4 linked regions of the Oreochromis niloticus genome follow. The protein of the gene in region 1 interacts with the protein of each later gene in a biochemical or structural test. Links are inferred from orthologs where the notes say so. Each region holds a gene or a part of one and is shown on either strand. Other genes may lie near its edges. The genes, in order: snta1, potassium voltage-gated channel subfamily A member 1, gucy1a2 and slc16a7.

Region 1 (8,012 bases):
TAAAAGTGAAATAATTGTTTCATGGCACTGTTCACCAACTGCCTTCTCTCAAAGTAGCAATCCCTCTGACTGTCATTGTGGTTATATGCACAGACCGTGCACCTCAGTGGCTCCGAAGAAGGAAAAATGTCTGCAGAGACACGCAAACTTTTACCATTCGGCCTGTCCAGAGACCTGGAGTCTAGATTCCATGCCTCCCCTCTTAAATTTAGACATGTGAGTTAAAGTTGCCTCCGTACTCTTCCTCAAGCTGGGGTGGGCTCCCTAAAATTAACACTAGTGGAGTACTCCACTCCCAGCCACATAGCTTTCATCTTTAGCCAATGACAACTGACTGCTGTGAGCTGCTTCTCTCAGCTGTTCGCAATGCGGTGTCAACTAGCATACAAGTTTTTCTCTGTTCTTTCATTTGTTTCCCGCTGCGTTTCTGACACTTTTTTCTTCCTGCTTCTTTTTTCTTTTTACTCTTTTGACCTCTTTGACCTCTTGTCCCATATACCATTTCTTGTTTGGCCTGCTCTTTCTGCCTGCACCTTTCACTTTCAATCTTGTACACCCTTCCTCCCAAAACTGCCTCTGAACATCCAGCATCACAACAATGTCAAGCCAAAAGGCTTCTAGCTATGATTTGGTTTTAATAACATGCTGTCTGATTTTCAAACCCACCCATTTCCACAGATGGACATCACAATTATGTCATTAGGGCTTGGCTTTGTTTTGTCGTTGGTGGGAATTGCGGGGGGGGGGGGGACTAAAAATTAAGATGTCACCAGCAGCTACAATGATGAGCCATCTTTGCAACATGACAATAATGCAAGTTTACAATTATCTATCAAATCGACACTGTGCATCAACCAATCGCCAAGTGATTACCTGGGAAGACAAACTTGCCAGGAGGAAACTACAGCTCACACACATGCAATTATACCCACACATGCTGCTTATAGATCCATGCCTGTTATTTATTACACCTTTTACTGCCTTGGCAGTCCATGCTTTACAACACAAGGTGACTTAGGGTTGTGAACTGACAATAATTCATTGATATGATACATGTCATCACACAGGGGTTATGATTAAAAATATAATGAGATTTATTGAGACTGTGCAAGAAACCTAATTAGATTTTTATTTTTATATGTAATTCTAGGAAAACTCTTCCAGTACATATTTACAACCCACCAGGAAAATCTGAATTTAAAAAGCTGACTTTTTAGGCGAGAATTGTGGGGTCTGCATTTGCATTTATCACAACCCAAGCAAAATAAGAAACACAGTATAAAATACATCAGTCTGCAACAAATCTTTCTGTGTCAGTTGTTTATTAAAAATTCAAACAGTGTTTATTTAAGTTGCACAACAGAATCATAAGTTCACCACAATAACCTCAAGCAATTCTAGTTAAAGCCAAGGAGGCGGAACCCCACTGTGTGTGGCAAGAATATGAAAATGACCATATTCTAGATTCAATTATAAAGACAATATAAAGACACAAAGCAAGCTGTGTAAAAAGAAAAAGTGTAAATCTATCAGTCACTACTAAATTTCAAGAACAAAAGCTGTGATATTTGTCCGTCTATAAAATATAATAAAATCCAAAACATTCCTAAAACTTTGTTATCACATTCCTGTCCGTTTTATCTTTTATATTTACATAGCACCACTGCTCAACCTTCCTAGTCATCTTCAGTTTGAGATCCCCACAGAGATAGGCTATTTTCGTGGAAGCAGGACAAGGAAAAGTCTTTTATCAGCTGCTGCAAAACACACGGCAGGTATGCAGGCTTGGCTGGTAAGATATGGAGAGATTACAACCTTTCTTCATTGAGAAGTCCCTGTAGAAACAATATTCTTGTGGCCACTATGTGTAGTAGAGGTCTCTGTGTCCATGTCTACTCCCGTTTGCTCATTCAAAGGCAAAGTTCAACAGCCAAAAAGGTCTTTGAACCACCTAAAATACTCTGTAGAGCCGGGATTTAACTCTGTCACATATTTTTATTGGTGTTACAGCTTCATAATCAGAAGTTAGATCTAATAAAACTAATAATGTTGGTTGATAACGCATAATATTCAGGTTTAAAACCTGCTTTGTTTGGTGTCTGTAGTCCATAAATAAATATGTTTAAATGAACTGCTGGTGTCGACACTGCTGGGTAATAAGCATCTACGGAAAGTATTCGGGGATTTGTGGAAACTTTTTAAAACCCAAATCGAGTTAAACAGAATCACGTGCCATTTCCTGATTTCTCTGAATTCAGTTATCTAAATTATTTAAACTAGTGTTTATTTTTTGTGTTTGTTTGGGGGCACACGGTGGAACCCAACGTTACATGACAGTAGCGAACTAATTACCGTCTCCGGTGACTGTGGTGCACTGAAATGGTTCCCTGTTGAGCAGAGAAACAGCTTGAGAAAATCACAGCTGTCGTTTTTCTGCGCTAACATCGGACCTAAACGTGTGAGTTATAACACGAACGGATATTTGTCATAGAGCAAATCGCGGAAAAGTTGCATTTTACGCACGTTTCTGAGAATTGTTGCACATTTTTGAAGTTAGCCAAGTTAACTGGCCGCTGTTTTCGTGGTCGGTGACAGAAGGTACGCTGTAGTCAAAACTTGTGTTAACTGACAGTAACTCGCCGTTCATGCAGTTAGCTATCTTTAAGATACTTTCGTAAACTACCTTACCTTTGATACTGATTCCGAGCCCGCCAACATCTTGCTTGGTAACTCGCACCGTGCGCTTCACGTTGGTGATGGTTTCCGGGACCGGGGACGAGCTGAGGTTCGGGGGGTCTCCGTTAATAGCACCAGCGGGACTCGGGTTTGGCTTCGCGGGTTCTTCGGTGCCCTCACCGGGGTTTAACGTGAGACTATCTTCGGTAAGTGTAGCCAGTACCCGGATCCAGCGGTCCACGGTCACTCGAAGTTCCAGCAGTCCCGTTTTCTGCGCCTTCGTCGCGGCAGCCATGTTCAACGCATTCCTGGAATAACTCTAGACGGGCTGGCAGTCCTGTAAGAGGGGGTAGAGGGCTGTGGTAGGGGGCATGCAGACACACACATTGAGCCCCCCTCCCTCCCTCCCTCCCTCTATTTTCTCCTCCTCCAAAAGAGGTTTATCCAGTAGTAGGCTAAGTAAAGTTAATCGAGGGCGATGCGATTAGCAACGGTGTTGACACACACTCAAAGTTCAAAGAGCTTCTTGTTCAGCCCATCCGTTAATCACCAATGTGAGGTTGAGTCACGCATAATTAAGTTTTGATTCATTCATTTATTTATTTATTTATTTCGAGTGTATTTCAACACCCAGCCTCACATCACAGATCTCATTTCCAGTGTGCCCAAAACGCGCAAAATCACTGCGCATATATATATATGTATATATGCATAAGTTCTGCAATAAGGAAAACAACATCGACATGCTTTCAAGGCCAGAAATGCATTTTTAGTGAAGAGAGCTTATATCGGGAATGACACCCACTAAGCATCTTCGGCTTGAATTCTGCTGACAGAAAACAGTGGGTGTGATGTTACCATGAAGAAGCCTGCACGTTAATCAGAACAATGATATTTATTGGCTTTTATTCAAAATGGGTTTCAGGACAACAGGCACTGAAAGAGGCCATAAATGCCCATCAGTACCATGACACTGATGCCCTGTTGCAGCAGCTGGGGCATAGTTAAAGCTGATCAGTATCCAATAAAATGTTGTTAAAAGCAGACACGTGACCAATATGATGTTGTACAAAGCATGATTACCCCAAAGCTCTTCTCCAGTAGGTACCAAATGAGGTGTTTGAGCATCGCAAAGGATGAATCAATGCTGGATACAGACCAAGACCAAACGACCTCATCTCCCAGACTGGGAATTCCATGGCAGTGAAGAAATGGGCTTAAAAAATACGTGAAAAATTTGTTGTTTGTGTTTGAAAATTTCAGCAGATAGAAGGTAGAATCGTGGTTTAGATTAGTAAACTGATTCCACCGGGGCTACTGCCAAAAATGCAAACTCATGGTGTTTCCATTAAAAACCAAAAACACAGTCCTGCGTATGCTGAAGATTAGTGCCAGTAAGTGGAATTTCAGTTCTTTTCATTCTTACCCCAAGTTACAATTATATTCAGTCCAGAATTTTCCAGTTTAAATTTCCAGTTCAAACTAAATTATTCTTCATTTTTATTTTATTTCCTTCCTTATTTCTTCAGTTCAAACTGTTAAGCAGTTCTTTCAATTTCTGTTGCAATTTGCAGAAATCTGCTACTCTGGCTATCACTTTTTTCATTTAGTAGTCAGTCGTAAATATTTAATGAAAAATGTGAAAAAAAAACATGCAATAACTATTTTGAATTATTTCCTAATATGCCATGATTTCAGGAGTAATAAGCCAAGCCGTTCAGTCTCGGTCTTGACAGAAACTCAACATGGATAAGTACTGCACTGTTGTGGTGACTCAGCAGAGGTGCACTTAATTGTGCAGCATAGACATTAAGATCATGCAGGAGTCACTGAAACAAGCTGATGAAGCAGTCCTCATTTCCTATGCTCTGTTGCATCGGCAAGGTATCTGTCAGCCCTTCAGCTGTGTGTGTGGCAGCCTGTGTTGCATCTGCTTCACAGCAGGTGAAATAGCAAAGAAGTCCCAGCACTCAGGGTTGGAAAACACTCTTCTGGGTGGGCTGTTGAGAGGCAGTTGCTCCCTTAATGAAAACAAGTTTGGAGCTTTGACTGAAAATTGCTCTAAACCCATTCAGATGCTCTAAATATGCTCATCTGTCAACAACATTTCTTTATCATTCTAAAGTAGCTAATCAACTCAAATATCAACGCTTACTTTATTCTAATTGGTTCATGTTTACTGTAGTGAATATTGATGTAACAACTTTATTTCTAACAACTTGTTTTTTAAGTCATAGACCATGGATCAGCTTCACACTAAATATTCAACAGGGAATTCCAAAGCCTAGATTCAAATCTTTTGTCTCCCTCTAGTGATTAAAGGGCTCTATTACCTCTACACTGGAAAACATTTGACTAGTACCTAATCTGTTTAAATAACAAAGATTTCCTACATGTCATATACAGTACTTTAAAAAAAAATCTAGGAACATCTTTTGATTGTTATGTGATGAGGTTTTCACTGTGATAGAAATAAGTAAACAGTAAAAACAGCTGAATTAAGAGAAACTATTTCTGACTTTTTGCTAGTCTTGTTAAAGAAAAAACATTTTGCAGTTATAAAGTATAGGCCATATGTATAAGGTTAAAATGCAATTACTGTGTCATTAACTGATATTAAACAACCACAGCCTGTCCCAGGATTACATACCCTTTGATTATTTAGCTCATATCCAACCATATGTCTATTAGTATTCATGGATTTGTAGGCACATGGTACTCAAAGAGCAAAAAAAAGAAGAGATTTTGACAATATAAACAAATATTGGACCCCAGCTGTGCAGCCCAATCACAAGTATTATTTGGACATTTCAGTTGCCCAGGGTGACACTTTAAAGTAAAGACAAAGGGTTTACTTGGAAATACTAAAGATACAATAATTATACTGTTTATCAACATACAAGATGGAGCTTGTTTTTATTGGCATAGTGACCATTAATATTATATAGATGTGATGGGGAACACAGTCTTGCAGTTAAAAATGTGGATTTTCAAATTTAAAGTGAAGTCAGATGATTCCTGTGCTTCCAAATAAGTGATACAAACTCAGCTTTCACATCAACCCTGTTGTTTTCAGCAACAGCAAGCAACTGTTTTAAAATAAAAAAGACACAACTATGATGAAACCACTCTGTGGCAAGTGTACAATGTGAACATATTAGTATCGGAGCTTGTTGTAGCCAAGCGGCAGTGTCCTGTTCTGTTCAACCTACCGGCGCACAAAAGAACAGCACCTGTAGCTCACCTGTCAGAGTGTGTACCCCATGTAGAAAAGTCTACCCTCAGCTCAGAGGCCTGGGTTTGGTTCTGTTCCAGCTCATGTGTGCAGGGTATGTAAGACTGTCATCCCAATCTTCCTGTTCTAGAAGGCGGAAAAACCCCAAAACAATAAACATGTCGCCTAAAGGAAATGGCTATTCAGTTTCTCCAGTAAGTATATTTTAAACCTGTTTTTCAATATCTAAAATTAGCAGCCCATTCAAAATCACAATGAATTACAGATCCACCTGCCTAACCAAACTAGTTGGTGCTGGCATTAGCTAAAAATTACCCACCTTTGAGCTCTTGTCTAAAAGTGTTGTTTCCTTGTTTGCATTTTTTGTTGTTGTTGTTTTTAAACAACCCAAGGTCCCTAAATGATATAGTCCACCAACAGCTGGGTACCCATCTTTTATATACAGCCAGTGTGGTTTGAGGTTCAGTTACCATTGCTACATTTAACATAATTAATGAAACAAATGATTTATGTGAAGTTTATTGTCACATTTTCTCATTCCACCCATAAACCTTATCCTCCTTTGTCCACACTTTTGTTTAGAAAAGGATACTTCCTTGTACTAATTAGCACATGTATAGAAGCACACATATAAATAGCACAGCAAAAATGAATGGGAGACTTCAACAACAGTGCTTGACTTAAGAAGTGGGTCTACATGGTGATGTTTAGCATTATGACAAGTGTTTGACCATCTGACCCCCAGTCTATGCATCTGTTGGTCTATTTGGGATGTGAGTGGCAGGAGGCCAGCCTTTCTTTCACAGTAGCACAGCTTAATATATTTGCAAAGCTTAGCTGAATGGAAGAGCAGGATTTGTAAGGATCTCTCACACACAAAACACAAAACTGGTTGCATTGTTTGGAGTGGATCTAGTCATATATAGTATTGAAACTGTGCACATTAAAGTAGTGACTTGTTTGCAAGTGTGCTTGCATTTACAGTAGTGTAGGATGACATCATATTTCACCATTGTCCTTGCAGGATTTAACCAATACTGAGCACCGTCAAATTACACTAGAGCTTAAGTCAGCAAGAAGTCAAGGACCTGAAATTAAATCTGTTTTCTGTAGTGTACAGGAAAAACAACCAAAATGGTGAATGATGATTTGCACTAACAGAGTGCGTTGCATGAATATATGTCATTGCTGATCAACCTAATAGCAGTGCAGTTATATTGGGCTTGCATGTAAAAATCAAGAATGATCGAATAAAGGATATAAAATACAAGATTTTCATTTAAATATTAAAAAACCTTATTTAAATGCTTAAAATGACTATATGATACATTAAAAAACAAAAGTTGACCATGTATTTAATTTTATCTTCGCTAACATAATTTAATAAAAAAGAACTATTATATAAATATATATGACTAAATGTAAGTTGAATAAAAGTTTAACATGTTAACAATCTATAAACATCATTTCTGTCTAAGTCAAGGCAGACTGGTTTTCTGCTATGCTGAAGACAACTCACATGACCCTATAGCACTTCTCAACAACATCAGACTACTATTGTATCTCTTGTTGTTGTTTAAGTAATAAGAAAATACTTTTGAATAATAATGACAACAAAGTAAAAACACAATTTGTATATACAGAACACATGTGAAAATTGCTAGATCATTATTTTTATCTATTATTTTTTATATATTTCAATTTGATAATTGCTTAAAACACTAGAATATGTATTGTATTTATGTTAAATAAATGAAATCAAATTAAGAACTTAAAGCATTATTTCCACATAACTTATAACCCCTAAAGGGGGTACTCTGCCTCTTACCCAACGCCAGCTGGGACAGAATGCAGCCCCCTTCCCATGTCCATAGTTGGATAAACGGTTAAGAAAATGAATGGATGGATGTACACACACTCAAACAGACAAACAGACTACAACCCCCCAACTTATCTTCTCTACACCCTTAGTTCAGTCAGTCACATATATGCATATCTCAACTCCCCAAAGACAGTGGACAGTTGGGGAGCCCTACTGATTAGTTTCAACGTCCCCCTGCATCCTTCTGCCTTCTCCTGCCATCCTCCAAGCATCTTTGCT
Region 2 (7,996 bases), on another chromosome or scaffold:
ATTGATAAACCTTTGCTCCTGTTTCCTGTCACTCTGACCTCTCCCTGTCAGCCCTCTCTGATCTCCTTGCATTGGTTCCTAATAAAGAGACAGCCCAACCTGCCTGCACACTCAGGCCTGAAGCCCGACTGTTTGCGGAGGACAGCGACCATAAAATTCCATCTGAAACCACAAGCTGCTGTTCCTCTGCCGGCCACCAGAGGCACCAGTGGTGAGTCAGTCCTCACAAAGTCCTGTTAACATAAACATACTGACAGGCTGATGCAGAAGCTGTTTTGGTGTCTGTATATAACCCCTAACAGGAGTGAGGATTATCATTGACTAACACAACCTCAGATGACCTCGCTGGTGTTTGTGGACACAAATTGATGCTTCAGAGTTCAGATAGATGAAAAACAGAATAAACTGAGATGCTGTGAGGTCATGTGGTGATTTCTTTCTGTGATTTTGTTTTTATTTTCACTCCTTACACAACATCAGACCTTCCTTTGTGTGTTTTACTGCCACAGCAGCACACGTGTGCAAGCTTTCAGATCTCCTTATTGCGCACACATCCATCTCCTTACAGTGTGAGCATAAAGGCCTGCTTTCCACATGATGGCATCCATGGACTCGCGGCTTTCATGCGCGCCTCTTTGTTTCCTTTATGCTCATGTTCTCTGCTGCTCTGCTGCTGCTGGCTCGGCCCTGGGGCCACACTCTGCCTCATCCTGCTGGCTCTGAGGGAGATGGATACAGCTTTTCTTTAGAACACAAGCTCATGTTTGTCTGCACATAAAGACACATCCCCATCAGCCCACCGCTGCTGGTCAGCTGTTAGTTTATGGTTGAAGTGAGTTCTTGTACTATCATGTTTGGATCTCATGCAGCCATGTGAGTCTTTATGTCAACACTGTAATCATTAACCAGCAACAAGCTGGAGCATCATTTTCTGTTTTTGCTGTAATCATGAAGGATCCTTGTTTCTGTGTTCTGTGGAGTTTATTCTGCATTTAATCATCTTTTTGTGTCTGTTCTCATTATTTTTGTTGGTTTTATGAAAAATTCATGATAAGTTTGAATATTTTGTTTCTTGTGCTTTTCAGTATCTTGCTGTTGAAGTCAAGAGAACTTCAGTCACTGCTCAGTGTTGTGCTAGTACAAAAACCTGACAGCAGCCATATTATTGGTCAGATTATTCATTACAAACACCCCAAAAGGAAAATCAGCTCCATTCTTCAGACACAGGTGTTGATTTCTGGCTCTTATAGTATAAAAAACCTATACGCAGCACAACATCTAAGCAGTGTTTCCAATCAAGGCAGCACAGACTTAGTTCAGTTCAGTTCAGTTCAATTCAATTCAATTTTATTTATACAGCACCAAATCAAAACAGTCACCTCCAGGTGCTTTATATTGTAAGGTAGACCCTACAATAATACATACAGAGAAAAACCCAGCAATCATATGACCCCCTGTGAGCAAGCACTTTGGCGACAGTGGGAAGGAAAAAGTCCCTTTTAACAAGAAGAAACCTCCAGCAGAGCCAGGCCAGTTATTGTGCAGGGTCGTTTAAATCAACCAAAAAAAAACAGAAAACTGTGTCTGACGTTATCCTACTGCTTTTGTTCAAATATAATTGGTATGGGGTTTTTTTTATGAGTGATAGTATGCAGGCGTGATTAGACTGAGGATTCTTGATTGTACTGTCAGGGTGCGATCAACGCTCCGGTGCTGTTTATGGTTGAAATTAATAACAAAAAACAAATAATAATAAAATAAGAAGAATACAAACTGCAATTCCTAGTTATTCCTGGGTTTAAGAAGCATCACCACTGAGACCACTCCTGCTACCTCACCTCTAATGTAAGATCTTTAACCAAGTTCCGTCCAGAGTGCACCGACTGAACATCCAAAATGCTACAAAGGACACGCAGATGCACGCCGGTGGACACAGAGAGCCAGAGCGCTTGTTTCTAAAAGCAGAGGAGGGCGACCTATTTAAAAGGTTAGTTTCTCAGCCCTGTGGGTGGATTAGCAAAACAAAGCAGGAGCACTATATTTATCCGTTTCCTTATCTAATGCCACAGCCTCATCATGATAAGAACTTTGTGCATCTCCCCGCCCCTGGATTAATGCACTGTTCTCAGACTCCTGCAGCCATGAATAATAACCCACCATCACCCATCCCACTGTGTGACTGGCCACTGGCAACGCAGCGATTTCACGCACTGGATACAGCCATTAGGAGGTTTTTACAATAAACTTTATCATGTTTGTCATGCGGGCGCTCCAAAAACATGAAACTGTAGCTGGATGCTGTGAGGTATAAAATCGGGGGGGAGGAGGAGAAGCAGAAACAAACAGGGACATGAAAAAAGAGCAGATGATTAGCACAGAGATGAGAGATTATTTTGCTGCATTCTAATGTGATGTTCACATGTGTCTGATACAGATCTGCAGGTTTCACAGTCCCAGAGGGAAGGAGGGCTTTAAAGTCAAACGGTGTTCTATTATTATGAGAAATCTTCTCTTAAGACCGGTGGTCATGGCAGCAGGTGCATTCACAAGTGCTACATAAAGAATATACAAACACTGGAGTGGTTGTGTTTACATCTGAAAAGCTCTTGGTCCAACCTTATATCCTGACACGATGAACATAACAAATTCTGCACCTCAGGTTTGAATGTTATGCCTCCACGAGCTGACCTTTAAGCATAATTTTATATACATGTGAAAATGTTAAGACCAGGCTGCAGGCGTGTAAAGACACATCAAAAGAAAAAACACATAAATAACTATATCAGCACAACAAACTCCACCCTGAGCCCGAGGTCACTGAAATCAAAATATCCAACCGGTTTTCTGTCCTGTGCTTTACTCAGTTGTGTATGAGCCAATATGAATGTCTCTGTGAAAAACCAAACCGGCACAGGCTGGACTTAGCCGGGTCTGCTCAATTTGGCAAAGCACCCGCAAAACATGAAGATGTTCTGAAGGAAGTGTGCAGGAATCATCCTGTGACGGACATGAAGGTACAAACCTTTCTGGCAGCAGCTGCTGACAGATTTCAGGTGCTGAATAAAAAACCCCATCACACAAACAGCTCCTGCACGTGACTGTGATCAGTGACTGTTCCTTCAGGGCAGTGGAAGGAGAGCGGATTTATGTAGTTATATAAACTTTTTATTTTGTAGTATTAGCTTAAATTGAAAAAACAAACAAACAACTGAACTGATTATGTATTTTACAGCAGATTTTTTTTCATCCTCATTTCCATTTCCATTCCAATTCCAAAAAACCAAATGACTGTTTTTAAGGCCTGAGGTGTGCAAACTCTGAACTCCGAGTTGAAAGCATCCCGCTGTGTTACTGACGGAGGTTCAGTCACAGAATGTCCCAAACCTCAGCCATCCTGATGAACATGTGTAGGAGTTGGAGCTGAGTCCCACTCTGCGGTACTTCAGGTCCTGTTACCAGCTACACAGGGAAACGGTAACCATAACAACAGGTAACCACTAACAACCAGCATCCATAACAACGGCAGCTCACAAATTAGCTCTCTAATTACAGAGACACAGTTCAGAGCCACTGCTGCAGCTGATAACAACAACACAGCTTCTAAAAAAACTGCAGACACGCATCAGGTCTGCAGGTCAGCTACACAACAAAGAAGTTCTCATTTAAACACAGAAGAAGCACAGAGACAAGCATCTCTACTTTTAAATACAGGATAAGATTCGCTCATCTAAATCACATGATGATTGTATCAAACTCTAGAATATTTCTCAGGCGGAGGGTGAACCGAGGGGGAGCACTACTGGAGACCACGAATGAGACTCACAGCTGGAAATTTAAAGCAACAGATGTGATGCTTGATCCACTGTCTGCTTGTGGAACTGGGTTTGTGTGAGTGGAACAGAAGTCAAACAGAAGAAATCAGTGTGTGTGGTTAAAGCAGCAGAGAAGCACCAGTTTTTCATCTGTTTAAAGATCAGTAAGTGTTACAAGGATCCAGAGGCTCTGAGCAGCTTGTTGTGTGTTCAGTTTGGTTCCATCTTCTTTCGGACACTTCGTCTGCTCCGGTCATTGGAGAAGAAGAGTCTCCTCTGGGAGACACTGAGGCCTTCCTAAAGGACCTAAAGGACTGGTTGTTATTTAGCTGTCATTTTCTGCTCTGCTTCAGCAGCCAGAGTAGTTTCTATCTTACATTCACTCCAATGAACCCATCAGGAACAATTTGGGGTTCCATGTCCAGCCCATCGAACAGGCTGCTCTAGTTCCTATCCCAGATCAAATCACCATGTCCTGGGTCTGCTCCAGCGTCTCCTCCCAGTGCCTGAAACACCTCACCTAGGACTTTGGTTCCTCTTGGTTATAAGTTCCTGCCTCCTCCGATCAGCACACAGTATTCTTACTCTCTGGCATCTGTGGTTAGGTCCACACCTGGAAGACTGACCAGCCTTAGCTAAAATAATGCTACAGCAGACAGACAACAAAAAACCAACAAACTTGCAAACAATTTAACTTTGTCCAGTTATTTAATAAGAGGACTGAGAGATAACAAACCCATCACAATAAAAGAGATGACGACAGTGCTGAAGAAATGAGAAAAGCTCAGCGGTGAACAGGTGACCATAAGCCACATGATTGGAGTGTGGCAGCTTGGGTTTGAGTCTGACCTGCACTCACTTTCCTGCCTGTCTTCACTGTTCTGTTATCAAATAAAGGCAACAAAAGAAACAATCAACTCGAGCATTATGAAACAAAAAGGACACAAAAGGGATGAAAACACCCCAAATAAATGCCGGAGCACAGCTGGATGATTCACCCTCCAGCCTATGAACAGCAGATAACACCTGCTTATATCTACAGCTGCAGCTCTCTGATGCTGTCTCTGTTATCACGTTATCGTGTGTTCATATGAATACTGTTCTTTGGTTTGTTGCAGGGCAGGGTGGATTGTCCGTCTGATTGGTGCCAGTCATCAAAGTACTTTCTGTCCCCCTGACAAAGAAATGAAGGTCACAGAGAGGACACAAAAGCATGCAGAGCATCAACAAAACAAGCCAGAGAAAAACTTTGAACGGAGGAACACCTGAGGACGGTGATGAGCATAAACAGAGAAAATGATGAAGGAAAAACACAAAACTACTCCCCTTCTTATTTCTCAGATTGTGCCTCCTCAGTTCCTCTCCTCGACTCCTCCATTGGGCTGAAGGAAGAATGAGAAAGATGTGGGAACAATCAGTGAATCAGAGGCGACAGGCAAGAAAGACAGGAAATGGAAACCAGGAGACAAGGACACAAACATGTGGATAAGGACGATGATGACAAAGAAACACACAAAACTGGGTCTAAAACATGAGAAACAGCTCAGAGCACAACAGCAGCAAAGTTCTGCGTTCTTCCAGAAACATTTATCTGCGTGGGTTCTTCCAGACACGTAACCGTGTGTGTGTGTGTGTGTGTGTGTGTGTGTGTGTGTGTGTGTGTGTGTGTGTGGGTACAGTAGCAGAGAAACGTCAGATTCAGTGCCCGTGTGGAGACGAGCAGCACTGCTGGGATGACAGTAGGCCTGAGTCAGACTCTGCAACACCTGAGGGAGCGTCACCAACCTCACATCACCACATCTGTGTGTGTGTGCGTGTGTGTGCGCACGTCTCACACGGAGTGCTCGCATGCGTGTGTGTTAAATATATGTGAGTGTGTTTAGGCTCAGGGCTGCATGCAGAGAGTGGCGTGGAGGGGGGAGCACTGTGATGAGTTTAAGAAGTCTTGACAGCAGATGCCTGCATAATAACGCAGAGAGAGGACATGTGCAAGCAGGAAAATCAAGGACACCACGTCATGCGTGCCACTCATTTAAAGTAACAGTTTCTGTGGCGGCTTAGAGCGCGCACGCAGATTATGTGCAGAAAAGGCTGCAGATGCTGCTAAATGGATTTGGAAATCGGTGCTGAGAAATATAGCCGAGCAGGGATTTAAAGAGCTGTGTGTGTGTGAGTGCTTGGTGGAGGTCGAGGCAGCATTTGTTAGTGTGATTGGTTTGGTGAGATTTGTCAGCAAGCCTGTGAGCAGATGCTGATGTGTAGGAGGAGGCCAAGTTCAGCTTCAGCCCAAACAGGCAAAGCGTTTATTCAGGCTGACGATGTAGCTCATTAAAACAGTGCTGGAGTCCTGGAATCCTGGAATCTGGAGTCCAGGTCCTTCAGGATGCTCTGCATTGTGGTCTGAAATTCAGTCTGAGATCATTCTTGCAGGAAAACTGACCATCAGCGTCAACATGGCAGCAATTTAAAATGGATTCCTATCTATCTGCCTCCTCCTGTGTGTGTGTCTGTGTGTGTGTGCACGCTTGTACTTCTGTCTCTGTGAGGACCGGTTTGCGTGCTAAGGCATGAGAGTACACATCACAGCGCTGAGCTGGAGTGGACAGAGGATGCTGCAGCAGAGCGAGGAGGAGCGTGTTGTTTTGCATTTGTGATGCAAGCTGACGCTGAGGCGTGATGTGATGTTCTCTCAGCACACCGGCTTGCACAGAAAGGGCTGCTGGATATTTACCTGGCGAGGCTGCAGGCGCACTGATGATGATGATGATGATGATGAAGATCAGCCCTTACCTCTGCTTCACTTCTTTTCTCCATTTGAGCAGAAATGTCTTGCTGGGCTGAAAAACTTTGTTTGGTCTGCTGGTTTGCTTCAAGAAAACTCAAAGCTTTAAACTCCACAATCAGCTAAGCTTTAAACAAATATTAGCTTGATAAACATAATTAGAGGACACTTTCATGCTCAATGCTTTAAAAACCAAGAGCTCCCGTGATACTAATTTTTAACATTTAAAAGCTGCCGAGCATTCCTGCTGCTCACAGGTCAGTGGTTCACATCAGGGTTTCTTTTCTTCTCTTGCACCTGGTTCTGGATTCATACCTGAAACCTCGAGGGATTTTCCTGCAGGAATCGTTCCACTCAAAGCTCGTAAAGTGCTAACACTTTAATCATGGAGAAGTAAATAATGTTGGAGTTAAAGTACTGAACATTTGTTTAGGAATTCAGCTCAGTTTGGGAAAAATCATCAAACACCCCAAAACCAAGACAGAAACAATCAGTGTTTGTTTACAGATTAATTACAGGAAATATATATTAGTGCTGTCAGCACTAATGACTTTTGTCAGCACTAATATCTATCTATCTACATATATATATATATCTGTATGGAATGGAAAAAGGTGACTGCGACTGGAGGAGCTGTGGGCCAATCATCAGTCTCCACTGGTCACGTATTGCACCTCCAGCTTTAACGTGCACCCTGGGTAAACCCCATCATACACACACACACAGACACACACACAGGGTGAGGGCCTCCCCTCCTCCATCCCACCCACCTCAATGTGTCTGCATGTGTTCAAAGGCCCTCGGGGAAGCAGATCACAAAAAGAAAATCTGTGCTTGTTCACAGCAGCCTACACAGGATATTAACCACACACACACACACACACGCACACACACAGTCAAATCTACAATAACTCAACAGAGGCTGCAGGGGGGAAGAGAGGGGATTACAGCCTCAGAGAAATAATAACAACAACCTCTGCTGCTCTCCACAGACATCAGAGTCATAAGGGAAGAGCAGGGAGGAGAGAAGAGAGGAGGGAGGAGAAGAGGGAGGAGGGATAAGGGAGGAGAGGAGGGAGGAGAAGGGTGGGACGCCACCTGAGATGGATCGGTGTGATGGAAGGGATAGAAAACTGATTGTGTAGAGGGTTTTTTAATTGACAGCTGTCCATAAGCCCCCCACCCCCATTACCACCACCCCTCCTGTTCTGAGTGAATATCACTCATCTTCTCTCTCTCTCTCTCTCTCAGGCGAGGGTATTAAGAGTGAAAAGCATTTTAAAAAAAGGATTTAAGTCTTCTGCTCTCTCTCTCTCTCTCTCACATACACACACACACACACACACACACACACAAAACAAACCAAACAAACACACACACACCAACGTGGAGGGGCTATTGG
Region 3 (7,584 bases), on another chromosome or scaffold:
TCTGATTATTTAACATCACAAAAACCTGGCCCTTTAATTGTACAGTGGATATAAAATTAAAGCCCTTGTCTCTATGCCATACCCACCATTCTCATCTCTTGCAATGCTGCCCTTCTCTGCTTCCCAGCCGTGGGATTTAATTTCTTTCTCAGTGGTCTCATGATCCTTTCTAGCTGTCACTTAATTCTAAAAGAGGGTTCTGTGTCATCACAGCCACACAGGCAAGTGTACACACACTCATATGTCAGAGCATTGCAACCTTTAGACCTAGTCTGTTGTGGATACACGCCTCTCATGAGCAGTGGGCAGCATTGCCCCAGCATGCAACCTTGGCAGTTTTTCGGTTAGAATATTGTCTTTCTTATTGGCTCGCTGCTTCAGTGACCCCTGTTATTTTCTGGTTTCATCTGAGATACTGTTTGGTGCATCTGCACATCTGATTAGTGCTGAATTTCAAAGAATCACACAGAGGAAGATTTGATTTTGCAGTATTTGTGTATATGGTCACAGATTATTATAGAAAAGCACTATATAAGGACCCGTCCATTTATACAGATGGACAGAGTGACTGGGTACCTCACTGTAGTCCCTCCAGTTCTTTTTTCCTTACATTTTTAACCTGTGGGTACCCAGAAAAGAGACTCTTTCTTTAATAAGGAACATTATTAAAATACTCCTCAGACGGCACTGGACTGCACTTTTATTAAGAGAAATCAGGTGTGTTATGAGACCAGGGAGATTGCCCCTTACTTGTAGTGTGAGCACTGACAAAATTTCATTTCCCTGAAAAGGCAGTGTTATGTGTTATTATTGTTTTTATGAGCGATCAATAATCTGTGTGTTGTTCATTGTTTTTTCTATGTGCATCTGTTTTGGCATTAATATGCTGCACTTGCCACCATGACCGTGATGCACCCGACAAAAAGAAAAACAAAGCCATCACTTAATACATGAAATCAAAGGTCGGGTCACATTCCTATCATTTACGTGGAAATTTGGCTAAATCTATAACATACTCCTTTATGCAATTTCCTACTCTTTAACCCTGGTTGTACTTATTAAAAAACCATCCTCATGACCAGTAAAGCAGGTTGTTTATATTGTGCATGTGTCAGAGAGGCACAGTTTCACGGTTAATAGCATCAGAGTGGCGTGGAGTGATGTGCGGTTATGGCCAATTAGATTGGCTTCTGGCAGATTTATGACCAAATCAGCCATTTGTCTTCTCCCATCTCTGCCTCAGCTGGCCTGACTCCTGTTATTCTGCAAATCCCCGGCACCATCCTATTGCATCTGCTGTAGCTTTTGGTTCATTTACACCCCCACTCACTCTGCCTCAGTATAGACAGGAGGTAGATATTTGACAGAGAGATAAGACAATAATATGAGTGTATGTCTTCTGCGTCACAAAATTGAAACCGACATGCCTGCTTAGCAGCGCCCGCTACAGACACGCGCAGCAGAACGAAAGGATCTTAAAGGCATGACTCACTGGTGTGTGCCATGGGCCTGAACCTTTCTTATCTTCATGCATTCCATAACTACACACATTTCATCTTCTACTGGCTTAAACTCAGTGATGCTGTTTCCTGTGTGGCTTTGTCTATATGTGGGTTTTTGCTCCATTTCACAAGTATGGATTTTAATACTTCTCATTCTGTGTGTGTGTGTGTGTCTCTGTGTGTTTTAGATTCCCTGTCAATATGTTAGGTTGTACCTCAGATGATAGGTGACTATGCATGTAGAATATGCTAGTTCATTTCTTTCTTATGTTTTAACCCTCATGTACCTGTGTGTGCAGTGTTGTACTGTACTGGTTAAATTGTGTGACAGTATGGCTGGTATTTGTTTTTACCTTCTGAGTCTGCTGGTGTGCACTACTGTGGAAGAAACTACTGGAAAGCTGGTTTTGAGTGGGCCGTTGTGGCAGTTTATAGTTCTGCCTCTGTCTTTTCTGCAGATAGATTTCATCAGTCATGCAAGATACAGACGCACAACTTTCCAGGGATCGTAGTTGAGGTCAAATCAGAAGACACATGTGGTCTGAGTAGAAAGGACCATGGTGCAAGGTTTCCCTTTCATCTTTTAAGATCCTGTCACTCAGATTTATGCATTTTTAATGTACTTGTAACTTCGCCCATATGAAGAGTTAAAACTATTTGTTTTCCAGGTTGGCTGTTGCCTTAAAAATTATCACAAGATGCTTTTTAGTCATTTTCATAAATTCACTCTTCTCCACCCACTCCGCCCTGCATGCCTTTACCCCTCTTATGCACTGTCTGTTCCTTTGGAAGATTGAAACTCACTAGCTTCACTACCTCTTCTCCTTGCATGCTCACCTTTCCACATGTCTCCCTCTCATTCACATACATGTAATCTGTTTTACTTCTACTGATTTTCATTCCTCTTCTCTCCAGTGCGTACCTCCACCTCTCCAGACTGTCTTCCCCCTGCTCCCCGCTCTCACCACAGATCACATCATATGCCATGTAGACTCCTGCCCGACCTCATCTGTCAGTCCGTCCATCCACCATTGCAAACACATACTGTGCATCCATCAATCCATTTTTAATTCTGTAGGAAAAGCGAGGAGCTGTGCCAAGGACACTCAAGGTTGGATTGCTTCATCCATTATTTCATTTCTATTGTCTAATGGCATCCGTGTTACATGTGCCTATTGAAGAAGATTACCACAGTACTTCAAGAGTTGCCCTTTCTATCTGTTCTGCTTCCATGATAGCACAGTCAGTGATCTGTTGCCCTGTCTGTACTTAGCTTTAGATGGCTGGCAGCCAGCTCAAGGCAGTCTCTCAGCTAGTAGGCTTATCTCCTTTGGAACATCATTTATTCTATTGTAGTGTTGGCTTTATTAAATGCCCACATTATTACTGATGGATGGCAGACTGATGCAGACAGATAAGGAAAGAAAAAGAAGGCATTCGTGTGTGTGTGTGGGGTTGTCTATGCACAAGAGAAAGTGTGTGGGTGTGAGTTAGAGAGAAGAGAAAAAATAAAATGATATGCAGTGGATTGGGGTCATGCTGCTCCAGAAAGTCAAATGAATTAGTGCGCACCTTCAGGAAATTGTGTTAGGGTGTGTGAGCACATACATGCACTATGTCTGTCTGACTCAGTGTCTTTCTGATTGGTCCACTGGGGCCATTAATGAACATGATCTGCTAATAGAGGTCAAGGTCGTGACTGTTGTTAGCGCCAGACTGAGCGTCATTCTGTCCTCTGATCAGATACAGCAAGCATGTGCCACCGCCGCGAGCTCCATTATCACCCTTTAGAGCCATGTTTGTCCATGTAAACCCGTGTTGAACATATCTGGCACATTGCCACGGACCTGGCTTATTGACCATGGCTGTTGTTTGATTACAATCAGATGCTGCTCGAGTGCCATTTCCTGTTAGTTAATTGAGGAGCAGACTGTTGTCTGCCAAGATTTCACAATTATAAAACCATGTAAATGACAGTATGGAGACTTCCATCTTTAATTCATTTAATGTAAAAGTATTGCATTCACTGTGTACTAATTACAACCATTTTTATAGTTTCCACCCTTTTCCGGATGCTCAAAAGTAAATAGACAAACTAACATAATTTTAAACAAAATGACTGTCTTTAATACTTTACATGCTGTTCATATTACACGCATTCATATCATAGTAGAGTCTACAACACATTTTGAACTACAGATCAATTGAGAATGTATAAATAGCCTATTTGAAATGAGTGAATAGATGATTCGTCTTTAATTACTGTTTCAGAGAGCATGTATTTTTGCTTTTTGTTTTTGGAGAAATCATCTGCTTTCATGCAATGTAATGACACTTTTTACTTAAGATCTGAAAACACAACAGCCATAGTGATTTCAATCTATTTTATTGAAAGTGAAAATGGCAGTGCTTGGATAAAAATGATCAATACTGATTCTGTATTATTTAATTTTTAGAGTTTATTGAAGACTATCCGGTCCATTCAAAGCATTGGTAGGAAATCCTGCGTGGGGGATGTGTTTCCCACACTCACTGAAATGGAAGCCCAGGTCCCTTTATAATCTTATGAGCTACTTTTGCTAGCTATTTTAGGGAACAGCCCTCACTTGGCGCCTTTTCATTTAACGCTTTTCCCGAGCACTTTATACAACATACCTCCTTCACACAAGCACTGTTTTCAGTGCGTCTATCTAACATCCCATGAAGGCTGGAGCAGTCAGGAAGCGAACCAGCGACCTACTGACTAGTGAACTGCTCTTCAGTTGTGTCAGTTTGTTATTGTCCAATTACTTTTGTCCAATGTGTGCGTGAGTGTGTGTGTGTGTGTGTTTTGTTGGGGGGGGGCTATTAAAATGGCTGTAATTCCTAATACGAAAGACATAATAATAAACAATAAATAAAAATAATAATAAATAAAAAATGTAATACAAAAATAAAATAAAGTACAAAAACTATGACATTGCCCAACTCCGTCTGTCTATCGATTGGCTCTGGTTTGTTTTCCAGCGCAGAGTAGCGCGTTGACGCGTACTTCACAGCGCGTGCATCGCAGATTAGAAGCACCGCTGGCGCGTGCCGCTGCTGCTGGCTCACCTCTCGCGCTCACTCTCTCGCGCTTTTACCTTTCTAGCTCACCTCTACTCCGGCCACTTCTTAAAGCAACAAAAAAGGGCCAAGGAGCTGCGGTGAAAGAGCTGAAATAAAAAGATGGAGGAATGCCCGGAGTGCGGTTAGCTGCTGGAGGACCGACAAGAGAACCTCTGTCGCAGAGGACTAAGAGCAGGAGGAGGAGGAGAGAGGGGGAAGCAGACGCATCTCACATCTGCGGTGACTTTGGGGATTTCTGGGCAGCGTGAGGAGAAAAAAAAAGGGAGATACGCTACATTTTTTTCTGATGCAGTTAAAATCTCCCGCGTGCAAGAGGAATAATTACCATGTGTTTGGATTATCGGTGGACCAGCGCGTTATGCTCTGCAGTTTCGGCAATTAGGGGGACATATGCTTCAAAATAGTTGCATCTTTTATTAAAAATAAACACTGTTGCCGGGCGTGATGAATTCTTCCGCTCCTCATTTTTAATCGGAAGCATCCGCTGGAGTGTTTGGCCACCCGGGGGAGCGGCGAGAAGGACGTTTTTTAGGGGGGTAACGGAGGACGGTTTTAAAGAGGTGATACCCTCCCCCTTCATAAATGTTTGCGTGCCGTTAGTGCTCTCGCTCTCAGTCGACCTCAACCCCTCCTCTCTCTCTCTTACCCCGAGTCTCACACGCAGGCAGACGCGTCTCATATGCATACACAGACACGGGCTGGACTGGACATTATCTCACCCGCACACTGACACAGCATGCGCGCATAATCACACATACACACAAGCCTTTCCTCTCAACCAGCCAGCCCTCTCACCTCCTCCCCCCCCCTCCCTCACTATCTGATGACTCCCCGGTGTACAGGTGGACGTGGTACGGAGCCGACTGTAGCATCATCCTCATCCTCAACACCGCCACTGTTATCATCATCACCATCCTCCTCCTCCTCCTCTTCTTCTCAGCAGCACAACCAGCACCATGTCCTCGTCGTCGCGCAAGATCTCCTCCGAGTCGTTCAGCAGCTCGGTGGGCTCGGACTGTGGGCTCGAAAGCCCCGGGGGAGACGGAGGGGACGGCGGGTTGGAGCCGGCGGAGGAGACCCGAGGGTGCCCCTTCTCTTCCTTCCCCTCCTCCCACAGAGCGGTGCTCTGGAACGGCCGCAGCCCCGCCGAAAGGACCGTGTGCCCGGCAGGTGAGGAGCAAGCACCCGGCGGGCCCCACAAGAGGGTCACCAGGAGGAGAAGGGTGAACCTCGACTCGCTGGGGGAGAGCCTGAGGCGGCTGACCTCACCCACGGTAGGATTTCAAACCAGTGTGAAAAAGCTTCACCGTGACCTCATCAATTGTCTTTAACATGTTTCTAAAGAAAGTTGCGGTGCTTTAAGTGCATTTTGCCTCCTGCAGTCAGAATATAGGTCACATCTGGGACTTAAAGTGTGTGTGAATTTGTGAAAACGATAGAGTATTCTTCTAAAAATCATTAGAAATGCCTTGTTTGTCATATTATTAGGTCCATTACTGACCAAATCAGGTCTCCTGAAGATGAAGCCTGTAATTTAAAAACCAGCAAGATCAAATATCCTGATGCATTTATTTCACTGCTCAGAGATGTCTCCAAAGTTCAGGAACAAAAACAACCCAACAACAACATTCAAGCCTCTCCACATTAGTGTGTTACTCCCAAAAACCCAGACAATGTCTTTTCTTACATCATGATAGGATGTGTGCTGTGCTGTCTACGAAAAAAAGCCTCTTTTCATCCTTCACCTCTGATAGCCTGAATCATCTGGCTGATTATATAATAAATATGTTGTTGTGAGTTAGAGAGAGACAGAGAGAGAGAGCGATGCCCATGGCTCGTCTGTGTGTATGCGAGGATGTGGGGAGTGTGGCGAATGAGCCTGCTGCTGTGTCTGCGTGTCTCAGTTGTGTGACAGGCTGTAATACAATAAAACCGCTATTAGAACTGAGTGCGATTGTGATGGATGGCGTGTTATTAGGGAATCTGCTATTGCACTGTCCCTCGCGATGGTACATCGGTTCGGGATTTGATTGCATCTGTTGTTCTGTAGTTACTCAACAATAGAAAATAAGTAAACAGATGGACAGACAGATGTCAAAGATGTGGACAAAACAAAAGTACCATTTGGGGAGAGGACATCAGCTTTTAAATAAATTATACCACAATCTCCAATACTTATGATATTAAGGTATTTGCATATTATCAATGTCACCATAATGTTGCTTTTTGCTGCCTTAAAACTGGTTTTAAGAACTCGCCTACTCCAAACTTCTGTCTGGACAGAGAAGATATTTCCCAGAGATATTTGTAAGCACTGGAAAAATGTGCATGCTACGAGTAAACTGGGGAATAAAACAATTCAAGGAATAGGATGACTGTCGTGAATGTCTCCTTCTGCCTGATTTACTCAAGTATAAAGGAAGCTTATTTAGCCACAGTGTTTCAGTAAAAACATCTTTTAGTTTAGGAGCATACAAATAATTTAAAAATACTATTGTTACTGTAAATGTCGTCATAAAGGAGTTCAGTAGACATTGCCCAACTCTGAAAACTACAAAATCAGCCCAAGAGTAATCCTTTTGCTGTGTTGTGAGTGAAATATGTATCTATCCTGAGTATTTGGTCATTGGTTTGTGACTTTGCAGTTTCATGCTGAAAATCTAAAAGATTATGAACCTGAGTAGTTTGTGATGGTTTGGCCATGGTTTAACATGAGTGGGAAGTAAATCAGACACAAGCTGAAGACTTTGAGCCACAAAGTGTGCTGCTGAGACTTGAGACAGGTCGGAGACAGTCCAGGGTCTACTTTGCCTCTCACCCTATGACAGCTGGGATCGGCTCCAGTGCTCCCATGACTGTGACTTGAATAAACCAAAGAAGATGGAGTGATAAATGGAGTGCCATATTGACTCCATAGACTGTGTGTAAAATATGGAATTAACTTCCAGGTCCTGATATGCTCTAATGCAAAATT
Region 4 (7,563 bases), on another chromosome or scaffold:
TCTTGCAGCTCTATTTTACAGTCGTAATTTTATCTCTGCATCATTGTTGTTATTTTAAATTACTTTAGGTGAACTACATAACCAACATAACCATTTTTTTCATTTTTTTTGCAGTTCTTCATGTATTTACAGTACTTATAAAACAGTGCTGGAGCATCAGGGTATTTTCTTTTCACAGCGTCCTGTGGTGCACTCCTCTCCACGTCCGGTCCACTTTAGGCGGTTCCTGGCAAAGATGTCATAGGATTTGTCCATAAATGGTCTCACAGGTGACCACATCATAAAGCGACCCAACCAGCCAAGGCCTACGGCACTATACATGACTGCAAATGCTGGGACTCCGCTGTGAACCTGCCAACACACAGCATGAAGGTGCATAATACCACACTTATGTTGAACTCCATATTTAAATCAGGAGCTTGAGAGTTTACCTTGTCTTTCTTATCAATCACGTGCATTTCCTTCATGGCCATCTCATAGGTGATATCCTTGTATTTTGTTCCATCATAACCTGGCAGAGAGATATCAATGAAATGTACTTTCTCAGGCTGGTTTCTCTGCAGAAACTGGAGGAAACGGATCTCAGTCACGCATATTGGACAAAGCCCATCATACAGAACCTGGAAAAGAGTGGAGAGCAGACATTTACATGAGGAACTGTCTGATATTTTATCCCTAATTTTCTATAATTAGTTAAACTTGAAGGATATAAATCCTGTTAGGAGGCATAAACCATTGTGGATTCATTTAACCTTTGGTGCTTTGGTGCAAATGAAAGTACAACAGTTGCATTGGAGAAGCAGGAAAATGGTGAGACCGTTGCTCTCCCCATATCGCTCCCGACTGATATTTCTCTTTCCTTTTTGCTAGTTTCCTTGTCTCTACTGGTAGCGTTAGATGGTACTTGCAGCCCATTCAGGTTGCACAGGTAGTTCCATATACTAACATGCCATCACAAGATGGTTTACAGTCTCAGCACAGGAGTGTGGAGGACATACAGGAGACGAGCTGTTACACAAGAAGAGCTGGAGAGGGTTGCACAAGGGCATCAACGCAGCAGCAGGACAGATAACTGCTCCTTTTTTCGAGGAGGAACAGAGCCCTTGAGAATGACCTACTTGTGCCAGCTTTTCATCAAACTGTAAGAAGAACCAGACTCCACGTGCATGACATGAGGGCCTGACCTTGCAGCTCAACTGACGTTTACCAAAGAACACCAGGACGGGCAGGTCCACCGCTGGACCCCATTCTCTTCACAAATAAATGCAGGTTCACACTGAACACATGTGGCTGACATGAGAAATCATAATCTTTTTTCAAAAAGACATGTTAACCTTGAATAGATTACCTCATTAACAGTCTAACATTACATCAAAGATCCTGAATAATTTGAATTTAGCCCAGGAAAACTTTCATGAACTAAAAATTGAGTTGCGTATTGCCACAGCGTTGTCTTAAGTTTCGGTTTGTTTGTTTTTAAAGCCCTCTCAGATTATTATTTTATTATTATCATCATCATGTATTATTCTCAGAGACGAATTCCTCCTTCACATCGGAATTATTTGCGATAATTAAGGATATAGCTTGACCTCTACTGGATATGATAGCACTGAGAATTTGATTCATATTTGAGGTTTTAAAAACCAAAATATTCAAGACACATTAAAATATGACAACGTTCAAAGTGCAACTTTAATTTTGCTCAGTTGGCACAGATACTGCCACACAGTGAGGACAAGGTCAAAAGCAAGTCTTACATTTGGAGTTTTACACATGTAAAATAAGTTTTATGAAATCGTAAGCCTGGTTTTATATCACTGGATCTTGCGCAATGCAAGCATAATGCTGCTAAACTGGAGACATTTCAACCAGTGACGCGGGTTACTTTACAGGGTTTACGTATTAACCAGTATATTATCCTAAAACTGTTTACCCGTTTTACAGCCCGCTAACTAAAACTTTAAAGCCATGTAGTTTAGCAGAAACAGAGAGACAGTGGGAGCAGCTCACCCTGACACCAGACTCAGAACTGAAGGTGCGATGCTGATGTTTGCAGAGCACAGATGTTACTCTTGAATTTACACAACTGGGCAATCTGGCTAAACCCGAAGTCAGACATGTTCTCACTTTTGAAAACATCTGAAGCTACAAATGGCTACACAGCTCTAACTTCGAATCAACCTGACTTTTCCCCAGCTAACAACCGTATTATACAAGCGTTTGAATAACTCTTGAATAACTTCTTCTTCCCCCTTTGAGGCAATCTAGGGTTTGTTTTATTATCGCCATCTAGTGGACTGGAGTGCGAGAAGTGCAGCCACGTATATGAACCTGAACATTTCCATGTTCTCTGACTTACGTATACAAACAGAAATGCTGAGTATTTATTTACATTCCCATATTCAATATTCCAAGACCGAAAAAGGTCACGATTTTTTTATTTTTTATTTTTACACATATCTAATCAGCCAATTGAACAGGCTTCAGAACTGGGGAAAAAAGATTTTAGTGAGCAGGTATCCAGATGGCTGGTCTGAAACTGCTTGGATCACACAACCATGAAGAGAATGGTCAAAAAAAGAGAAATATCCAGTGAGCACCAGTTTTCCGAGTGAAAACTTGATTGATGAAGTTGAAGCCAGAGCTGCTTTGAGCCAAAATGAAGCATTTCAAATAACCACTGATTACTACCAAGGCATGGAGAAGAGCATGTCTAAATGCTCGACATGTTAAAGCTTGAAGCAGATGGGTTAGAGCTGCAGATGACCACACTTGGTGCCAGTTGTGAGAGATAAGTACAGGAAAGGGATGCTACAGTTTGAACAACTTTACCAAACTTGACACTCTTTGAGACCTTTAGTGCCAACTGAGCAAACTGGTTTCTCTGGCACAGTCTCCAGATCTCAAGCCAACAGAGCATATTTGGGATGCGGTAGAACCGGAGATTCACATCATGTTTGTGCAACATTATATCTGCTGCAACTGTGTGATGCTATCATATGTTTATACACTAAAATCTACACTAAAAAGAATGTTTCCAGCACCTTGCTGATGTATGATCTATGCACGCAGTTCTGTAAGAAAAAAGTGGTCCAACTCAGGCGTACCTAATGAAGTGGCTAGTGAGGATATGTCAACTGTTTAATTTCCTTAAATTCTAATCCATAAATTGTAATTATTATCCTCTCAGTTGCATTTTATGTAGTGTTTGTTGTATTTCTTTCAAAACATGCGGTTTGCAGTCTGAATAGCTGATTAATGAGGAGGTTGAATTGGAGCACATTATCGCTCAGCGTCTAGACATCTTTAAGTAACTCATGAAAGAAAAAAAACAACAGAGCTCACAGCACCTCTAAAAGATAAACCAATAATTCATAACTGGTTAATTTGCTAATTTCGATACTAAAAGCTGGAAATTTGAATAGAATACTAAGGTTGCGAGATTAGTTCTTAGAAGCAAATACACATTTAAAAAAAGCTGTATTTTTTCTGCACAGATCTAATTTGTCTGTGGACGTAAAATATTGTGAGATCTGCAGTAGGGTCAAGAATTATTCCATAACAAGCCTTAAGTACATATAATAATATTTTGTTGGAAAAAATACAGTACTGTGTTTCATAGCCCATATTTTAAGATCCCTAAACATCTATAATGCACACTTATGAGTGTTTATTTTCTCCTGTAATTTCTCACAAAGCCCTTTTCAGATTTTTTTTCAATTTTTTCAAGAGAGCTGAAGCATAAAAACTAGGGATTGTGTGCTAAGCTAAAAGAGTATCCAGTGACTACATCATTTTAAACAACTCATAATTTTAAGAAAAATAAAATAGAGACCAATTATTTCCAGCATTTACATTCAGCAACCACATGGCCTAACACTGCTGACATTGAATTTGTAGCCAGAACTCTGTTTTTCACCACATGTACAAAACACAGTTTTTCAGTTAATTAACTTTTACTTAATCAAAGCGTATGGACAAACCATAAAATTAAGACAGCCTTCCTAATATTGTATAAGTCCCTCCCACACGTACTGTAAAAACAGCTCTGACCTCAACTTAGGTCAGGTGATCTAGTTAGATTGGCACCAAGTTGTTGGTTGTGTTCTAAGCATTTTTTTTTCAGTTAGCCCTGCTGAGGGTGACCCCTGCCATCGGGGGGTGCCATTGTATTGGGGGCATGCTCTTGGTAGCCAGTCTATGCCAAAAGTGACATCAAAACATAAATCCCAGCTTTCCCAAAGGTTTCCCAAAAGAGCATGACGCACAAACAAGATAATCATTAATCAATTAATCACTCAGTTGTTAAACATTGTGGGCGATCAGTATTTATCACGACTATATTTTAGTCATTTTGACCAACCGACCCGCAATACACAAACACACAGGAGTAGACAAACACTGCCTACATGAGTTCAAAGGGCCTCAGCAGTAAAACTGAATGTATGTCTATGAAAGGGTAAAATGTTAAAAGAAACAGATTTTAGGAGTTGAATTACACTTCCTAGAAGCTTTATTGTCATCAATATCTAGTGCTGGGTTATTGCTCTATTTTGTATGGCCACTCATATTTTTCATGACAGCACACGTGATGAGATCAAAGACCTTACAGCAGGGTGAACTCTGTCCCTGTGCAAGACTGTGGCATATGGACTGAGTTCATAGGCTGGGCGATACAGTTTCAAGGACTGGGCAGAGGTGAGGTCTTGTGAAATTTATATGTGATGCAAAATATGTGAATCTAACTCTTTCTTTGAAAAGTTGCACTTGTTTATTTTCTGTTCACTTATTTTTGCTGTTCCCACTTTCCAGCCGGCGAATTGAACATGCCCCCCGCAGCAGTAACCAATCTAGGCTACACCCCACCAGACGGAGGCTGGGGCTGGGCTGTCGTCTTCGGCGCTTTCATCTCCATAGGATTCTCGTATGCCTTTCCCAAGTCCCTCACCATCTATTTCAAGGAGATTCAGGAATATTTTTCAGTTTCCTACAGTGAGATTGCCTGGGTGTCCTCAGTCATGCTTGCTTCTATGTATGCAGGAGGTTAGTGGCCGTCATACTTCAAGTATTGACAAATGTATTAAAAAAAATTGGCACATTCCCAAGCAGCGTATCCCATGACCGGATTTGTCAAGCAAATTTTGTCCCTCAGAACGTTACCAAAAATGTAAGATATTTCTCTCCTGTGTGCAGGCCCTGTCAGCAGTGTACTGGTCAATCGCTATGGCAGCAGACGTGTGGTTATAGTTGGCGGGGTCATGGTTTGCACTGGCATGGCTCTTGCTTCTCTTGGCACTAATATAATACATCTGTATCTCTGTGTTGGAGTAATTGGAGGTAAATTATGTTTCCTTTTTTTGTTAACAGTCAGATAGGCTAGTCCAACAATTAAATGAACTACCCTTTAAAATAATTCACTTTCTTAAAGTGCACATGTTCAATTCAATTTTGTGTTATTTTTCTGGTATGGCTGTTGCTGTCCTTTATAATGTTTGCTTTATGACACCTGGTTGTAACTGGACTACACTGAAGGAAGGAGTGGTTGTGTTGTAACTCTCATTCAGTTTTTTACTATCAGGATCAACCCACAGGGATTGTTTATGTCCCTGTGTAAAGCAAGGGTTGGTCGTTCAGTGCAACGAGTACAATGACCCTTATGATATAATATAATATAAGTTATAATCCCTTCTTAAAGCGGCAACATCAATGCAATGTTTAGATTTGGGTGAAACCTTTTCTTAATGTCCTGTTAACCCAGGTGCATTTAGAACATCCACACATGCACATGTGCAGGCAAGACCACATGATCATTTTACTAACTGAGAGCAAACAAACCTCTCAGACTTTAAACCTAATCTTTAATCTAGTAGCGCTGCACCAGCCAGAGAAGTACAGAAAAGAAATGTCCATACCATGGGACTAGTTATATATATGTATATTTTTCTGTAAACAAATCATCACCGATATAAAACTAATGTCACAGATAATAATAAGAAGTGCATTCAACTGACTAAAAGTACTTTTTAACTGATACTTTAGACACTTTATTTAAAATATTCTAAAGGGAATAAATTCATAAACTACTGTGTGTAATTTTATCCTAATTTCTAACAGGTTTTGGTCTCGCGTTCAACTTGCAGCCCTCCCTGACGATCATAGGCACTTACTTCCAGGTCAAAAGGCCTCTTGCCAATGGACTCGCTATGACTGGAAGTCCAGTTATTCTCTCAACTCTGGCTCCTCTCAATCAGTTTCTGTTTGATTCTTTTGGTTGGAGGGGGAGCTTCCTCATCCTGGGATCCATTGTTTTGAACTGCTGTGTAGCTGGTGCTTTGATGAGACCAGTCAACAAAAGCATACAACGGAAAACAATAGATGAGTCATCAAAGTGTGAAAATGAAGCTGAGGAACACGCTGCTGCTGAAGACACCAGTACCCACTCTGATAACCTTCAGACTGAAGATCAAAGTGAGAGCAAGGGTCACAGCTTTGTGCAGAAATTCATAGATGTCTCACTTTTCAGACACAGGGGCTTCCTCATTTATCTAATTGGTAATGTGGTCATGTTTTTTGGCTTTTTTGCACCTGTGGTTTTCATGGCTCCATATGCCAAACATCAAGGGATTGATGAATATTCAGCAGCTTTCCTGCTCTCCATTTTTGCTCTGGCGGACATGTTCGTTAGACCGACAACTGGCTTCGTGGGCAACACCAAGTGGATTAGGCCAAGAATACAGTATTTTTTCAGTTTTGCTGTTTCATACAATGGCATATGTCACCTAATGTGCCCACTGGCATCTGGCTATACAGGCCTAGTTGTATATGCTGTCTTCTTTGGTTTGGCATTTGGGATGCTTTCTGCACTCCTTTTTGAAGTTCTAATGGACCTTGTTGGAGCTCCTCGTTTCTCCACTGCTGTTGGACTTGTCACCATTATTGAGTGTGGGCCAGTGCTTCTGGGACCTCCAATGTCAGGTTTGTGGTGTTTTTTTTTTCTTTCTTTTTTTCATTGAATTGTGATTTTGATTATACACATAAGCAAAGTATAGAAATTTCCAAGATGGAGTTACTAACAGATTATGTGTGTTCTCTTTCAGGAGCTTTGGTTGATTATTTTGGTGATTACAAATATATGTATTATGCATGCGGTGTATTCATGCTGGTTTCTGGCATATTTTTCTTCATTATGCATTACTACAACTATAAAAAACTGGATGAGGAGCACAGGAAGAGCAAAGCAATGGAGACAAGAAATTCTGACGAGGCAGTAGAACTAAAAACGAACCAGGATGATAGAACGATGAATGAAACAGATGAATGAACTTGATGACTATGACTTTATTTCAGTGGATGCATACAAAATGACATTGCAAAGGCTTTTTATGCAGTATGTTAATGTATTTTATACCTTAAATGACTTAGAGTAGTTAGACTTTTAAATACTTGCAGATTCACATTTGTTATTTTGTAAATTCTCATATTATGTATATTATTATTATTACAGTGTGTGACATATGTAACTCTGAGGATTTGTTAATAAATTACAAGGAACTACCTCTGTTC

Evidence for each region.
Region 2: the proteins of snta1 (region 1) and potassium voltage-gated channel subfamily A member 1 interact in a test that uses a peptide from one of them, tested with the Homo sapiens proteins (2 studies listed by BioGRID and IntAct). The link is inferred for Oreochromis niloticus from reciprocal best matches to the Homo sapiens genes SNTA1 and KCNA5.
Region 3: the proteins of snta1 (region 1) and gucy1a2 interact in a test that uses a peptide from one of them, tested with the Homo sapiens proteins (3 studies listed by BioGRID and IntAct, with this or other methods). The link is inferred for Oreochromis niloticus from reciprocal best matches to the Homo sapiens genes SNTA1 and GUCY1A2.
Region 4: the proteins of snta1 (region 1) and slc16a7 interact in a test that uses a peptide from one of them, tested with the Homo sapiens proteins (3 studies listed by BioGRID and IntAct, with this or other methods). The link is inferred for Oreochromis niloticus from reciprocal best matches to the Homo sapiens genes SNTA1 and SLC16A7.

The regions. Positions count from the first base shown.
Region 1 is NC_031970.2:7,142,701-7,150,712, forward strand, and holds the start of snta1 (alpha-1-syntrophin), read right to left. Parts: upstream 3,081-8,012; 5' UTR 2,972-3,080; coding exon 2,689-2,971; intron 1-2,688. UniProt on the Homo sapiens protein: Adapter protein that binds to and probably organizes the subcellular localization of a variety of membrane proteins. May link various receptors to the actin cytoskeleton and the extracellular matrix via the dystrophin glycoprotein complex.
Region 2 is NC_031981.2:22,387,371-22,395,366, reverse strand, and holds the start of potassium voltage-gated channel subfamily A member 1, read right to left. Parts: upstream 3,049-7,996; 5' UTR 3,023-3,048; intron 720-3,022; 5' UTR 1-719. UniProt on the Homo sapiens protein: Voltage-gated potassium channel that mediates transmembrane potassium transport in excitable membranes. Forms tetrameric potassium-selective channels through which potassium ions pass in accordance with their electrochemical gradient.
Region 3 is NC_031979.2:18,036,508-18,044,091, reverse strand, and holds the start of gucy1a2 (guanylate cyclase soluble subunit alpha-2), read left to right. Parts: upstream 1-4,528; 5' UTR 4,529-5,461; intron 5,462-5,550; 5' UTR 5,551-5,566; coding exon 5,567-5,884; intron 5,885-7,584. UniProt on the Homo sapiens protein: Has guanylyl cyclase on binding to the beta-1 subunit. Isoform 2 acts as a negative regulator of guanylyl cyclase activity as it forms non-functional heterodimers with the beta subunits.
Region 4 is NC_031984.2:11,571,523-11,579,085, forward strand, and holds the start of slc16a7 (monocarboxylate transporter 2), read left to right. Parts: upstream 1-4,544; 5' UTR 4,545-4,698; intron 4,699-4,812; 5' UTR 4,813-4,826; coding exon 4,827-5,043; intron 5,044-5,193; coding exon 5,194-5,337; intron 5,338-6,114; coding exon 6,115-6,975; intron 6,976-7,097; coding exon 7,098-7,321; 3' UTR 7,322-7,563. Other genes in the region: uncharacterized protein At5g50100, chloroplastic, read right to left, coding at 157-351, 432-620, 2,011-2,139. UniProt on the Homo sapiens protein: Proton-coupled monocarboxylate symporter. Catalyzes the rapid transport across the plasma membrane of monocarboxylates such as L-lactate, pyruvate and ketone bodies, acetoacetate, beta-hydroxybutyrate and acetate.